4 linked regions of the Callithrix jacchus genome follow. The protein of the gene in region 3 interacts with the protein of the main gene of each other region in a pairwise test. Links are inferred from orthologs where the notes say so. Each region holds a gene or a part of one and is shown on either strand. Other genes may lie near its edges.

What was found.
Region 1: the proteins of CCDC102B (region 3) and HMG20B interact in binary tests that used the Homo sapiens proteins (3 or more experiments, as listed by UniProt). The two-hybrid records come from large-scale screens. The link is inferred for Callithrix jacchus from reciprocal best matches to the Homo sapiens genes CCDC102B and HMG20B.
Region 2: the proteins of CCDC102B (region 3) and PSMA1 interact in binary tests that used the Homo sapiens proteins (3 or more experiments, as listed by UniProt). The two-hybrid records come from large-scale screens. The link is inferred for Callithrix jacchus from reciprocal best matches to the Homo sapiens genes CCDC102B and PSMA1.
Region 4: the proteins of CCDC102B (region 3) and CCDC120 interact in binary tests that used the Homo sapiens proteins (3 or more experiments, as listed by UniProt). The link is inferred for Callithrix jacchus from reciprocal best matches to the Homo sapiens genes CCDC102B and CCDC120.

What each region holds. Positions count from the first base shown.
Region 1 is NC_133523.1:3,341,155-3,344,894, forward strand, and holds the end of HMG20B (SWI/SNF-related matrix-associated actin-dependent regulator of chromatin subfamily E member 1-related), read left to right. Parts: intron 1-297; coding exon 298-344; intron 345-600; coding exon 601-673; intron 674-941; coding exon 942-1,157; intron 1,158-2,324; coding exon 2,325-2,457; intron 2,458-2,700; coding exon 2,701-2,713; 3' UTR 2,714-3,240; downstream 3,241-3,740. UniProt on the Homo sapiens protein: Required for correct progression through G2 phase of the cell cycle and entry into mitosis. Required for RCOR1/CoREST mediated repression of neuronal specific gene promoters.
Region 2 is NC_133511.1:80,384,758-80,388,257, forward strand, and holds part of PSMA1 (proteasome subunit alpha type-1), read right to left. Parts: intron 1,064-3,500; coding exon 975-1,063; intron 191-974; coding exon 120-190; intron 7-119; coding exon 1-6. UniProt on the Homo sapiens protein: Component of the 20S core proteasome complex involved in the proteolytic degradation of most intracellular proteins. This complex plays numerous essential roles within the cell by associating with different regulatory particles.
Region 3 is NC_133514.1:111,380,029-111,383,954, forward strand, and holds the start of CCDC102B (coiled-coil domain-containing protein 102B), read left to right. Parts: upstream 1-1,126; 5' UTR 1,127-1,202; exon of another isoform or gene 1,203-1,483; intron 1,484-1,630; 5' UTR 1,631-1,756; coding exon 1,757-1,774; intron 1,775-3,926. UniProt on the Homo sapiens protein: During interphase, forms fibers at the proximal ends of centrioles to maintain centrosome cohesion. During mitosis, dissociates from the centrosome following phosphorylation to allow centrosome separation. Contributes to CROCC/rootletin filament formation.
Region 4 is NC_133524.1:49,609,954-49,613,453, forward strand, and holds part of CCDC120 (coiled-coil domain-containing protein 120), read left to right. Parts: intron 1-1,309; coding exon 1,310-1,468; intron 1,469-1,585; coding exon 1,586-1,676; intron 1,677-1,818; coding exon 1,819-1,952; intron 1,953-2,634; coding exon 2,635-2,775; intron 2,776-3,184; coding exon 3,185-3,479; intron 3,480-3,500. UniProt on the Homo sapiens protein: Centriolar protein required for centriole subdistal appendage assembly and microtubule anchoring in interphase cells. Together with CCDC68, cooperate with subdistal appendage components ODF2, NIN and CEP170 for hierarchical subdistal appendage assembly.

The DNA.
Region 1 (3,740 bases), on a different chromosome or scaffold from region 3:
AAAAGAAAGAAAAATGGTGGGAGGGGCCAGCGGGAGCAGTTGGGGTCCTGCTCTGTGGGGTGCGACCGCAGCCCAGGTAAGGCCTCTGCTACATGAGGCACAGTCCCATGGGGTGGGCAGGGGAGGAATACATAGCCAGACAGAAGTGAAGGGAGCTCACTCAGTACAGTAGGGGATGCCCAGACTCGGGGGGACGAAGGTGCGGAGCTGCAGCCGATGAGCAGGGCTGACCTTGGGTGCAGGGCGTGGTCCCTGGAGACCTGGGAGGCTGACCCTTCTCTTCCCCTCCTCTACCAGAAGACTCGGGCTCGGGGCTCATGAACACCCTCCTGAATGGACACAAGGTAAGCGACTCTCCTCCTAGCAAATCACCTGAGGTAGAAAGGTCTGGAGATTTCTAAAACCGGCGCTTCGAGGAGGAAGCCATGGCCCCTCGCCCAGATGTATGCAAGCAGGGGTGGTGCCACCGCACTGCGGGGACGCTCTTGATTGTACTCGCACTCAGGGTGCCCCAGGAGACCCTCCTAGGTTTGGGGCACACCCAGAAAGAACGTGGCTGCCCCCTACCACCAGCAAATTTCCACCTTGTCCCTTCTTCAGGGTGGGGACTGCGACGGCTTCTCCACCTTCGATGTTCCCATCTTCACTGAAGAGTTCTTGGACCAAAACAAAGGTAACTGTCAACTGCGGTCCTGATGCAAACTCCGTGGAAGTGGGTGGTGGAGGGGAGCGTGGGCCAGGAGGGCCCCCAAGGTGGGAGGGGGCGGATCGGGAGGTTTCCTCTGAGCGCCCAGGCACCCGCTGTCGCCCCAGGAACTGATATAGAGCAGGAGGCAGAGGGTGCAGTGATGGAAACCCCGGCAGGGACTCGTCCCGGGCTAAAGCCGGGCGATGAGGGGAGTGGGGAGGCGCAGACTCTGACCCCGCTCACCCCGGCCCAGCCCGCGAGGCAGAGCTGCGGCGCTTGCGGAAGATGAACGTGGCCTTCGAGGAGCAGAACGCGGTGCTGCAGAGGCACACGCAGAGCATGAGCAGCGCGCGCGAGCGTCTGGAGCAGGAGCTGGCGCTGGAGGAGCGGCGGACGCTGGCGTTGCAGCAGCAGCTCCAGGCGGTGCGCCAGGCGCTCACCGCCAGCTTCGCCTCGCTGCCCGTGCCGGGTGCGGACCCCGCCCATGGCCCCGCCCCGGTCGCCCGGCCCCGCCCATCTCCCCCCCGCCCCAGTCGCCCGGCCCCGCCCATCTCCCCCCTGCCCCAGTCGCCCGGCCCCGCCCATCTCCCACCTGCCCGTCACCTGGCCCCGCCCATCTCCCCCTGCCCGTCACCCGGCCCCGCCCATCTCCCTGCCCCAGTCGCCCGGTCCCGCCCATCTCCCCCTGCCCCAGGCACCCAGCCCCGCCCATCTCCCTGCCCCAGTCGCCCGGTCCCGCCCATCTCCCCCCTGCTCCGCTCATCTCCCCCTGCCCGTCACCCTGCCCCGCCCATCTCCCACTGCCCCAGTCGCCCGGTCCCGCCCATCTCCCCCTGCCCCAGGCACCCAGCCCCGCCCATCTCCCTGCCCCAGTCGCCCGGTCCCGCCCATCTCCCCCCTGCTCCGCTCATCTCCCCCTGCCCGTCACCCTGCCCCGCCCATCTCCCACTGCCCCAGGCACCCGGCCCCGCCCATCTCCCCATCCCGTCACCCAGCCCCGCCTGTCGCCCCGTCCATTTCCCCCCCTTCCCGTCACCCGGACCCCACTCCCGTCCGGTTCCCCAGTCACCCGGCCCTGCCTATCGTCCCGCCTTCACCACACACCCCCGAGCTCCGCCCCCTCCAGAACCCCGCATCTCTACCCCATTGCTCCACTCCGCGCCCCATTGCTCGCCTCCGTCCCTGGCCTCGCCCCCACGGACCGCACTTCCCGGCCACGATCTCTCCCGCCTGGTCCCCACTGACCCCTCTTCCTCCCACAGCCCCTTCGTGCCCCCACCTCGGACGCTCCAGGCACCGCTCCCTGCCGGCCCCAACCTCGCTGGCTTCTCTCCCTCGCCAGCCCCCGACTGGCCTTGGGCACTGACCCCACCTCCCCGCGCCCCCGTCACCCACGCCTCCCCCGCCCCGCCCTCGCCAGCCGCCTGCCTCGGCTGACCCTGACCCACCGTGCGCCCCGCCCGCGCTAGCCAGGGTCGCGACCTCTGAGCGCACGGGGGACTCCACCGACTCGCGTCCCCGCGCCCTCCTCGAGACCCGCCCTGACAGTACACCCCCCACCTCTGCCCCTTGCCCTGGAGTCCCCGCCCTGCGACTCCCCGGAACCCTCGCCTGACTCACCTTATGTGTCCCCCAGGCACTGGCGAGACGCCCACGCTAGGCACCCTGGACTTCTACATGGCCCGGCTGCACGGTGCCATCGAGCGCGACCCCGCACAGCACGAGAAGCTCATCATCCGCATCAAGGAAATCCTGGCCCAGGTCGCCAGGTGTGTGCCCGGTGGGGCGGGGGGCGGGGGCGGGGCCGGGCTCACTCAGTTGGGGGGCGCCAGAAGTTCCCCAAAGCTTCTCAGGGCGGATCCCAGTGCCTGGATTAGGTTCGATCCACACCTGCCCCCCAACCCTGGCATCTGTCGGAGTAGCTGATGCATGGCCTTTGGGGTTCCTCTGGGTCTGGTGGGGGCCAGAGATGATACGGTCCTCATCCCGGGCCCTCCTGTCTCTGGTTTCAGTGAGCACCTGTGAGGAGTGGGCGGGCCCACGATGCAGAGGAGAAGCTGTGGGCGCGGCCCTGCCCCAATCTGCCCCACAGACGAGAAGCTGAGGGTTCACCCTTTGGGGCCTGGTCCCATCCTGCACCTTGGGGGCTCCAGCCCCCCTAAAATTAAATTTCTGCAGCATCCCTTTAGCTTTCAATCACCCCAGCCCTCTGATCCCACAAGAAACACTGCGACCGCACAGCCGCGGGTACCCCTCCTCGGAGGACAGCCATGCACCGCGCGGCTCTCCCCATTATCCCCGGGACCAGGACAGACAACCACCCCCAGCACATGGCAGGACCCCCAGATTACCCAGGTGTGTTCCCTGGGTCACACAGGCAGCTGCCTTGTGGGGACTTACCTGGGATGGGTCCCCAAATGCCTGCCCCCAGATGGGGGTGGTGATCTTGCCCATCCTGCCGTCCTCCGGCCAGGGGACCCTCCTGGGTGCGGCCCCTTCCCAGTGCTGGATCCGGACTTTTTAAATAAATAGAAACAGAATTCGTGTTTTCAGCTGGTGAGTGTGTAAGTTGTTTGGGGTGGTGTGGAGGGCTCAGGAGGTGTGGCTGTGGCCCCCATGACATCGCTGCTGGGGGTGCCAGGCCTGCTCTCTTACCTCCAGCAGCGCTTCAGAGTTTCTGAGGGAGGCTGGGACCCAAACTTGCTGGGGTTCACAGAGCCAGCCAGCGGCAGGGCAGGCATCTCCATCCTGCATTCTACCTGTGTGGGCTCAGCACACGTGGGGGGCTTGGGGCTCGGGACAGTCAACAGCTGCTCAGTTCATCCTTCAACTTGGGTCCACACGGGGGTTCAGGTCCTTCCCCAGCAGACTGTCACTGGTTTTGTTCATTGTGTAAATTCGGCAACATAAACCTTGCCATTACAGCCATTTTGTGTATGAGAGACTGGGTCTCGCTCTGCCACGCGGGCTGCAGTGCAGTGGCCCAGTCACAGCTCACTGCAGCCTTGAACTTCCGGGCTCAAGAGACCCTCCTGCCTCAGCCTCCCAAAGC
Region 2 (3,500 bases), on a different chromosome or scaffold from region 3:
CATATCCTACAAACAGAAATAAATACACCACATAATTATTTACTTTGGTTGAGCTAAAAATTATAAAAATTTCTAGTTAGTTAAAAAAATCATTAAAATATAATAATCAATGAACTTACATCATAACCAGCAATAAGCAGCCCAACACCATAAGGTCTCCGGCCATATCGTTGTGTTGGTATCTGGGTCTCTTAGACTAGTTAAGAGCTTGTTTTAACAAGGAATGAACTATTCTTTACTTTCTTTTTTTTTGGTGGGGACGGGGTGGAGTTTCACTTTTGTTGCCCAGGCTGGCACGATCTTTGCTCACTGCAACCTCCACCTCCTGGGTTCAAGCAATTCTCCTGCCTCAGCCTATTGAGTAGCTGGGATTAAAGGCATGTGCCACCATGCCTTTTTGGTATTTTTAGTAGCGAGGGGATTTCTCTATGTTGGTCAGGCTGGTCTCGAGTTCCTGACCTCAGGTGATCTGTCTGCCTCAGCCTCCTAAAGTGCTGGGATTACAGGCTTGAGCCACTGTGCCCGGCCTATACTATCTTTATTTTCAAAGTATACATTATTAACAAAGGTTTCTGGCTTCTTCCTTAATTGTTGCATAATCCACCAGAGAAAGAATAAAATAGGATTCTCTATCTTTGGCCTAATATAAAATGTTTGCCTTTCTACCAAATCTAAGAGTGCCAGCAAAATAATTCTTCCCAGGTAAAACTTGGGATTTCTTGGGACATCTAGAACCATTGAGAAACTTTAAATCCCCTCTAAAAAGATGCTTGGATAATTTCCCTGAAGTTGGGTTTATTTATGTCTAGCAAATATAAATTGCTTATACAGGCTAATGAAAGAGCTACCCAAATTGTTTTAAAGTTTTCACAATCTTACCTATGTCATGTTATTATCATATTCCTATGATAATTAACACAAATATCAAAACGCTTCAAAGTTCATATCCATAAATATTAACATAAAAAGGATACTGCTTCCAATTAGAGATACAAGACGTGACACAGGAAGTGGTCTATCAAATACAAATCTGGAATCCAAACACTCCTGACGCATAAAATTACTGAAAGAAACAAAAAAAGTTTAGTAATCTCAAATTACAAACAACGATTCCAATCTAAATTGTTTGATTTCACTTTGCATTCTTCCAAGCGTTTACATGGATCACAACCATATAATGAAGACAGAAGGTAAGAAAGACATGCCTGCGGGGGCACATTTTTGTGTCAAACTCTGGAGCCACATAAAGTTTTTTGTTGTTGTTGTTTGTTTTTGAGATGGGGTTTCACCATGTTGGCCAGGACGGTCTCGATCTCCTGACCTTGTGATCTACCCACCTCTAACTCCTAAAGGGCTGGGATTACAGGCATAAGCCACCACGCCTGGCAAGGTTTTTAAAAAACACTGAAATATTTTTTAGCTCTAGGAAATATTTGTCTTAAAGCACTTACAGAACAGAGAAGAGAAGGTTGAACAAGAGAAAAAGAGTAATCCCTCTTCTCTTATCCTTACCACTGTCAACAAGTTTGTCTTAATTCTAGGTCTTAAACCAGCATAGAGTATCTACTCTGTCCTTTTTTCTTGAAAGCAGACTAACATTTCCCCAATAGAGCAACTGTAAAAAATAGAAATCACAGCAGAGGGCATCTTTACATGTACCTGCCACTGTTACTTATATTCATAAGAAGCACTCTAGAGGAGATACTGGACACTAGCCGCTGAGTCTCACCATTAAATCTGATGAAATTCAAGCAAGGTTACCATTGGGGAAAAGAGAATTCATGCCTATAAAGATCAACAAGAAATGAATATGCCCCTTTCTTTCAATGTTGCTTTGTCCAGCATATGTGTACATCACATCTGATCATCACATGTTGACTACAGGAACCAAGCTATTTGTTCAGTATTTATATTTAAGTCCATTTCCCAACACTGTCTAAAAGTATACTGCCCAATATGGCAGGCAATAATTGCATGTGGCTGTGGAGCCCTTGAAAAGTAGCTATACTGAATTGAGATGTACTCCAAGTACAAAATAGCATGTCAAGTTTCAAAGACTTAGTACCTAAGAACGTGCAATAGCTCATGAATGAAGTTTTCATGTTGATTATGTGTTGGCATGGCAATACTTTATAAACTGGGTTAAATAAAGTGTTTGATAATATAATACATTTTCCACTTTGAGGAGTAGGTGGAAACCCTTTAGGGTGTCATTATATTGCTAACTTAGAGCAAGGGACTGGTTGAGTAACTTTAAATTCTTAAACAATGGCATCACTATTTACACTGCTTTTGCTGCTGCTGTTGTTTTAGACTAAAGTCTCACTCTATCGCCTAGGCTTAAGTACAGTAGCACTATCATAGCTCACTGCAACCTCAAAGTTATGGACTCACCCAATCCTCTCACCTTAGCCTTTTGAATAGCTAAGAGCAACAGGTACGCGGCCCCACAACCAGCTAAGTTTTAAAATTTTTTGTAGAGATGGAGATTCGCTACATTACCCTGGTCTCAAGTTCCTGGCCCTAAGCTTCTCAAAGAGCTGGGATTACAGGTATGAGCCACTGTGCCAGGCCCACCCTTATAATTTATATTATTTCTTTCCTAATCAAATTCACAAATTTAAGAGATTGGTTTTGGCTAACTACCTGCCACCCACAACACACTCACATAATACCTGAAAAGCACTGTGTTAATGCTTTACAGTAGGCTATTTAAAATAATTAAAAATAGGCTGGGTGCAGTGGCTCACCCCTATAATCTCAGCACTTTGGGAAGCCAAGGTGGGTGGATCACCTGAGGTCAGGAGTTCAAGACTAGCCCAGCCAACATGGTAAAATCATGTCTCAACTAAAAAATACAAAAATTAGCCAGGCGTGGTGGCAGGCGCCTGTAATCCCAGTTACTTGGGAGGCTAGGCAGAAGAATCACTTGAACCTGGGAGGCAGAGGTTGCAGTGAGCCAAGACTGTGCCACTGCACTCCAGTGTGGGCAACAGAGTAAGACTCTGTCACAAAAAAAATAAATAAATAAAAAAGTATTTTAAAATAGCTTTGATAAAGAAAACACTGGAAAAAAATTCAGTGTTTAGGTATTTAGCCCAATCTGATACTAAGTGGTGAAAGCGAGAACTCAATCTGTCTGATTTCAAAGCCCTACCTCTTCATTTACGGATTGCCTTTCAACCATAATCTGTCTCCTCAGACTCTCACAGAAATTTATCTGTTATAAACTAGATTTGAATTTATAGATAAACTTGCCTTTAAGTTCCTTTAGACAAGATCCATTTCTGAGTCACTTATGCATACCCTGCAATATCCAGTATTGAGCATTGCAAAAAAAAAAAAAAAATGTCTACTAAATACTGATGTATTAAAAAAAACAAGTACGGTTCAGCTTGTCCTTAGAAACCAGATAAAAGTATCAAGCTCTTCTTAGACATAATATGGTATCAAACAATATACACTGCATTAACAAATATATTACTGAGTGACTTGTAAAA
Region 3 (3,926 bases):
GTTCTAGTAAGCCCATAAATCTAATAAACACAGAGTTCCTTTTTCCTACGTATTTTAACTCTCACCTTACTTTTCCTTTTTACCATCCTGTCTTTTTGGAATACAGGCAGACAGCATTCCTCTATATTTCTTTTGTTTTAGTAGCAATGATCTCTTCAGTAAAAATTACAAATGCCATTCAAAATATTTCCCCTGAAATAGACGGCTAGAACAAATCAAAGTCGAGCTGCAACTCTAATACTTAATACAGGGCATTGCCTGACACAGAATGGGCTCTTAAAGGTTGCTAAGTGAGCGGACCCCAGTGAGAACGAAGGCACCCAGGGCTGAAGAGAGGGAGCTGAGAACAGCGGACACACACTGAGTGTTTCACACCGCACAATCCCGGTGGCCTGACCCTGATCTGAGCCCTGGTGGTAAAAAGCCTTAAACGTGACAAGACTCAGAACCTAAAGCCAAGGCAAGATCTGGCGGTTAAGCTGGGACGGCAGCATCCTTCTTGCCCATCAAAGGAGTGAGCTTTATTGAAACTTCCTGCCACAATGAAGAAAACACAGACACAAGGAAGCGCGCCCTTCCCGCGCCCGGCACTGGCCCCGCACAGGGGCAAGGGAAAGACCCCCAGGTATCCACTCCGTCAGGGCCAGGCAGGTCGGCGTGGCGGGGCGGCAGGACTCTGCGGGACCGTGCGAGCGTCTCCGCGGACCCCACAGGCCTCGCCTCAGCCCCGGGCCCAATCCCGGCCCCACGGCGGGCCAGGTCCCAAGAGCCTGCCGGCGTCGCGACCTCTGCTCGATCATTACCTGTGGCGCAGAGCCGCAGGGCGGCCCGACACCTCCAGGCTGCCATGCTAGCCTGGGAGAGCTGCAGAAGCTGACTCTGTGCAATAGAGAGAAAAGATACCGGTGTCCGCTGCCTTCCCGCCAGGAAAGGGAAGCGGAGCTGACCCAGAGCGGAAGAGAAGCTCCGCTCAGAATACGGGGGCGGGGCAGGCCGGCCTCCGTTAAGCTCCCAGGACCCCGCCGGTCTCCGTCTCTGAGTATGCGCGGAGTGCGGCGCATGCGCCGGGAGGGCAGCGTCTGCGCTGTCGTGTGCTTCAGCATCCTTTGCGCCCTCGGCCCCTCCTGAGGAGCGTGGGAACCCAGCGTGCGGGCTTTATTCGGGAAAGCGGTGGTTGTTCACGGGGGCACGTTTCCGGAAAGGTGAATACTGGAGAAAGTTAGGTTGCAGGCGAGGTAGACTCCCACGACGCACTTACGGGATGAATATTGGCACATCATTTGCTTGCTGCTCCCGTGCAGTGAGTGCACCTGTGCGTTTTAATGCTGGATCAAATTTGTGGAAAGAGGCGCGCCTGAAGACTGGATTGCTGAGCTGCGCGCCACTCTGTGTTTTTCCAAAGCGTTTTTGAAATCGTCTTTCAACCTGTTTGCATAAAGGGACATCTCTTAAATGCAGCAAGCTTTAATGCACTTTTGCCAAAGTAAGGATTGCCTCTTTAAAAACTTTCTCTTGAAACTTGAGAACATAAAGTTAGGCTTAGGATTTTTTATGACTTTTCTGATTACTTTGGAATTAAATAAAATAGTATGAAATATTCATATTGCTACCTGTTTTTTTTTTTCTACAGGACAATGATTTGTAAAACCCATATTTCTTTTATATGAGGTTACTGCAGCAGTCGCTACTTCTGAATTAGATGAAATTTTTATGGGACGTAAGGTACCAGAGGATTTAGATCAAATTTTGAAAACCTATGAGAACAACAGAAAGGGTAAGTTATGATGTCAGCCGGTTCACCTTAGGTTCAAAATTCCAACAGGCGGAAATGTTCTAAAACATTGTTATTCCTAGTGACTAGAAGATTAAATTACACTCTAATTGAGAGCAAGCCTTAAATGTCACCCCTTTTGGGCATACAGCATGGTATCCAGTGCAAGCCCTCTGCAGATTCAATTTTTCTTCCTTTCTTTTTTTTTTTTTTTTTTTTTAAAGAAAAAGACTAAAACATAAGGGGACTGTTGAAGCGACGGGAATGTTCTCTCAATGGTGGTGAAACAGCTTTATAATAGTACCATGGACTTGATACTCTTCTACAGAAGCTTTTCTACTCTCTTGGCAGTATCTCTGAAAGACCCATATTCAGTTTGTTTTTCCATTCTAATGTATTTCAAAGTTCTCTGTCTTCCACAGCATGCAAAATAAAATAATTTCTTTGCATATTTGCATTACAGTTTAAGTTAGCATGTGGAGAACAACAAAAACCAGTTAACCTAGATCTGTGCTCTTCAATAGTGTAGCCACTAACCACCTGTGGCTATTGAGCTTTTGAAACATGCCGTGTCATGAAGTAACTGAATATTTAATTTTAATTTTAGGAAATAAAAAAACTGACACTCGATTCAGTTATTGGAAAGTTTTTTTAATATGATTGGAACAACTGAGATATTTGAATCTACTTTTTCAACTGTAAATTTTATGAAATCTAAAAACTGATCATTTCCCAGGTGTGGGTGGCTCTTAACTGTTTGCCAGCACTTTGGGAGGCTGAGGCAGGAGGATTGGTTGAGGTCAGGGATCCGAAACCAGCTTGGGCAACACAGTGAGACCCCGTCTGTACAAAAAGTTTAAAAATTAGCCAGGTGTGGTGGCACACACCTGTGGTCCCAACTACTCCAGAGGCTGAGGTGGGAGGATCAATTGGGCCAGGGAGGTTGAGGTTGCAGTGAGCTGTGATTGTGCCACTGCATTCCAGCCTGGCAACAGAGCTAGACCATGTTTCTATAAAATAAATACCAATTAACGTATTTCTGATGAAATTAGGGAGGTTGTAAGGAGGTATAGTATAAATGTAAAATATACACTGGATTTGGAAGGCAGTATAAAACTGTTAAATGTCTCAGTATTTTTGTATTGATTATATGTTGTAATGCCTATAGCTTAGCTATATCTTAGATATATTGAGTTAATAAAATAAATTATTAGAATTAATTTCACCTGTTTTTATATTTCACTGTGTTTCCAAGAAAATTTATAATGACATATGTGCTTTGCATGATATTTTCATTGCAGGCAATGTGAAAATGTTCAAAATTATGCATTAATGTGAAAATGATTTAATAAACCAATAGACTTTTTAGGCCTTTTGTTCAGAGAACATGCTAAATTTCCATATGCTAAAACATATTCAGTGTTCAAAAATTTAAGTGTTTTTTTCCTGCTTATCTACCTCAAGTGGTGATCACTTTTTTTGTTATTTAAAAGGTTCTACTATTTTGACAAGATCTTTAAAAAGACTTTCAGATAAGCTACACTTGTACAGATACATGCCTTATATATTTTGCCTACATATGGCTGTAGTCTAAATGTGTATCGCAAATTGCATATGTTGAAACTTCATTGCCAATATGATAATATTAAGAGATTGGGCCATTTGTGCATGATTTAATCATGAGGTGGAACGCTCATGAATGTGATTAGAGACCTAATAAAAGAGACCAAAGGGATTATCTTAGTCCCTTTTCCCCTTCAACCTTAAGCCATATGAAGACACAAGAAGAAGGTACCATCCTTGGAAGCAGAGAGCAAACCCTTATCAGACATCAAACCTGCTGACTCCTTGATGTGCAGCCTCCAGAACTTTAAGAAATAAATGTTTATTATTTATAACTTATCAAGTCTGTGCTATTTTGTTACAGAGCATCAACAGGCTAAGTAAGACACATGTGCTTTCCAAAAGTCATATACACAGGTGTCTTGTTTATGGTAGGACTGTTTGCAATTGTGAAAAGCTAAACAATTCAAATCTGTAAAAGTAGAATAGATAAATTGTGTTGTTATCCTGTAGTAAAGTACTATATAGTAATGAGAATGAATGAACTTTTGTATGGAGAACTGTGTGGTTGCAAATCATAAACTAAATGTTG
Region 4 (3,500 bases), on a different chromosome or scaffold from region 3:
TTTGTCAAAAGGCTTTAGGGACTGATTCCCACCCCTGCTATTGAAGGCAGGGCACCACTGCTTCAAGAGAGGGGTACAGGCCCTATGGGGCAGGTAGGAGGACTCCAGAGAAAACTGACACCTTATAGACAGCTTGGCCTCACCCTACGATATACAGATGGGGAAGGGGCTTGAACCCATGCCTCCTTGGTTGGCTGGGTCTTCCTCACACCAGGCTAACAGTGTCATGACAAGCTGCCAAGTTCAAGGTAGGTGATGATGGGAACTCTGTGGCCCCATAAAACCCTCCCAGTCACCTGCCATTGAGGTTAGGCCAGGTGGTGGGAGGTGATGTCACTCAGCTCCCCAGCTGGGGACTGAGCAGGATGTGGAAGGGAGGGAGCAAACTCCAAAGGAGGGGACAAGGGCAGGGCTGGTGGCCAGCCAAGTCAGGCTCCATGGTCAGCAGAGGCATTGAGGGCAGAGAAGGAGGCAGGAGGCAGGAGGCAGGTGGTTTGTTATTTTCAGCTGTGGACTTTACTTCTTACAAATTCCAGCAGGGGGACTTCCCTAGCTAGGCTCAGGACAGGCTGGCATGGGAAGAGGGGCTGGAGGGACCCTGGGTCAAGTGAACCTAGTGAACACTCTCCTTGCTGCACTAGAGCTACAGAATGGAGTTGGGACAAGCACAGACCCACAGATCTGGGCTTGAACCCTGGCTCCACTGCCTCCTCATTCATTTACTCCGTCTTTTATTCATTCACCTGGCACCCATTCATTGAGCACTTGCGTGTACAGCCGTGTTCAGGATGCTGGCAATGCTGATGAAAATGGGACAGATAATGTTTTCTATCATTGCGGATGTTCCAGGAGGCATAATCTCTTGTTGGACAACCATTTGTGAGAGAATATAACACAGGGGCCCCCTGTGGAAGTGATATTTAAGCTTTAGAATGATAAGTGACACGAAGGGGCTGGGGTGGTGACAGATTGAAGAAAGCATTTCAGGCAGCAGCCACAGCCTGGGCAAAGACCCTGAGGCCTGAGGGACCAGGGAACTTATGAGGAAGTTGGTGGAGTTGAAGCGGTTCTCGTGAGCAAGAGTGTAGGTCCAGGGGGTGGACCTGGGTTATGTATGTGGCTATGGGCCAGTTATTTCACCTCTGTGCCTTCCTCTCCTCATCTGTAAAATGGGAGTATGAATCTTCCCAGGTGGCTGTGAAGATTCACTGTGGCATTGTAGGTAACTGTTGCAGGCAACCAGGTGCTGACTGCGTGGCTGTTGTTCTTATGGTTGGTTGAATCTGTCCCATTAATTCTCCCTCCCCAGGCAAGACTCCTGGCTGTGACCCATGGGCCTCTGAGGAGGCGTTGTAAGTCCGCCCAGCTCCCCACTTGCTGTGCTCCCACTCAATGCGAAGGGAACCAAGGTACCAGGGCCAAGTGGGTCCAGACATCCACACGGATTCTGAAAGGGCAGGTCAAGCAGGCACGTGGGGCCCAGGTTACCCCTTATTCCCTGCTGTGGCATGGGAAGTTGGGAAGGGCTGGGGGTTGGGGTATCATGGGACGTGCTTCCTTAACGGCTCCTGTGTGTCACTGCCAGACTTTGTCCAGCCATCAGCCACGGCCTCTCAACAGCACCAAGATGGAAGTCAAAGGTCAGCTGATCAGCTCTCCTACCTTCAATGCCCCAGGTCGGTGGCTGCTTCCCCTCCTGTTGCCTCCTCCCCTGCTCTAAATCACCACCTGCTTGCTTGGGAAGAGTTGGTCCCTGGCCCCACAGCTGCTCCAGGATGCCCTGGCTGTCCCACTGATCTTTGCTCCCTCTGTGTCCAGCTGCCCTGTTCGGAGAGGCTGCCCCCCAGGTGAAGTCAGAGCGTCTGCGGGGGTTGCTTGACCGGCAGCGGACCCTACAGGAGGCCCTGAGCCTGAAACTTCAGGAGCTCCGCAAAGTGTGTCTCCAGGAGGCGGTAAGGGCCTGGCCCTAGGGGTGTCAGGCGGGGAGGTGGTGGGGGAGGTGAGGAGCTGGGTCCCCTAGATAGACAGACTTGGGTGGCAGTTGTTCAACCACTTGTCCTGTCTGTGTCACCCACTTTTCTCTGTCACCCACTTTCTCAAAGCTCAGCTTAGCTGTGTTAGAATGAATGAAATACGGTAATACAGGCACACAATCCCCTGTCGACAATTTCAAATCCAACAAACCTTAGAAAACAGGTTCTGTTCAAAATTTGGCAGCACAGTCAGACCTGAACTGGCACAGGGTGATGTGTAGTTTCAGTTTCCCCCTCTTACTGTGAATGCCCACAGTGTGCCAGAAATAATACTATAGCTCAGACCACGCAGCCCCAGCCCCCGAAGGGAGTTATATAATACTTAGGATCTCGATGGTATCGCTTTTATAAAAATGAAACAATTTTGGATCCCAAAGCAGGTCTCCCTGCCTCTCATGCCCACCACCACAGGGGTTTGGGCCATTGAGATTTGGGCACGCCTGCCTGTTGGACATAATGGGAGGAGGAAGGGAAGTATCGTGTGTGGGTGCTGAGCAGGGCCAGGCTCCTGGTAGGACTTCTGTAGCTTCTGGGATCATTAATGTGTTACCGCATCCTTCCAACTAACCCTTGGTAGTCTCTGACTTCTGCCCTCCACCAGGAGCTGACTGGCCAGCTGCCCCCTGAGTGCCCGTTGGAGCCTGGTGAACGGCCCCAGTTGGTCCGCCGGCGGCCCCCCACAGCCCGCGCCTACCCTCCACCACACCCCAACCCAGCACACCACTCCTTGTGCCCTGCTGAGGTGAGCAGATGGGTGTGGAGAGCAAGAGGGTGGGGAGAGGGGACAGGTACAGAGGAGTAGCCAGGAGGAAGGTATGGGGAGGGGGCTTGTGGCCAGGTGAGGGAGAGGCTAAGGTGAGAAGGAAAAGGGCTTCTGGAGGTAGGTTCCTGCAATGAGGGAGGATGCTGGTCCCTAACTGTCAGGACAGGCCTCCCATGCTCAGGAAGATAAACAGTCCCAGTCCTTCACCAAGAGAGGCCCTGCCCTGCCCTGCCCTGCCCTGCCCCCTCCCCTCCCTGGGGTAAATAAGTTCCACCTGCAGGTGAATAGGCCTGAATAGGCCACTGGAAGTGCAGGACAGCCTCTAGTGGGTTTGGCTCCACCAGGTCCCTGTGCCTGGCCATTTCCAACATTTGGATGGGCCCGACAGGAGCTGGCTCTTGAGGCCCTGGAGCGTGAGGTGTCGGTGCAGCAGCAGATTGCAGCAGCTGCCCGCCGCCTGGCCCTGGCCCCTGATTTGAGCACCGAGCAGCGCCGGCGCCGGCGCCAGGTCCAGGCAGACGCACTGCGGAGGCTGCACGAGCTGGAGGAGCAGCTCGGGGACGTCCGGGCCCGCCTTGGCCTCCCAGTGCTCCCACCACCCCAGCCACTGCCACTGTCTACGGGGCCAGTGATCACCGCCCAGGGAGTCTGCCTGGGCATGCGGCTCACTCAGCTCAGCCAAGGTGAGCATCCCCTGGTGAGGG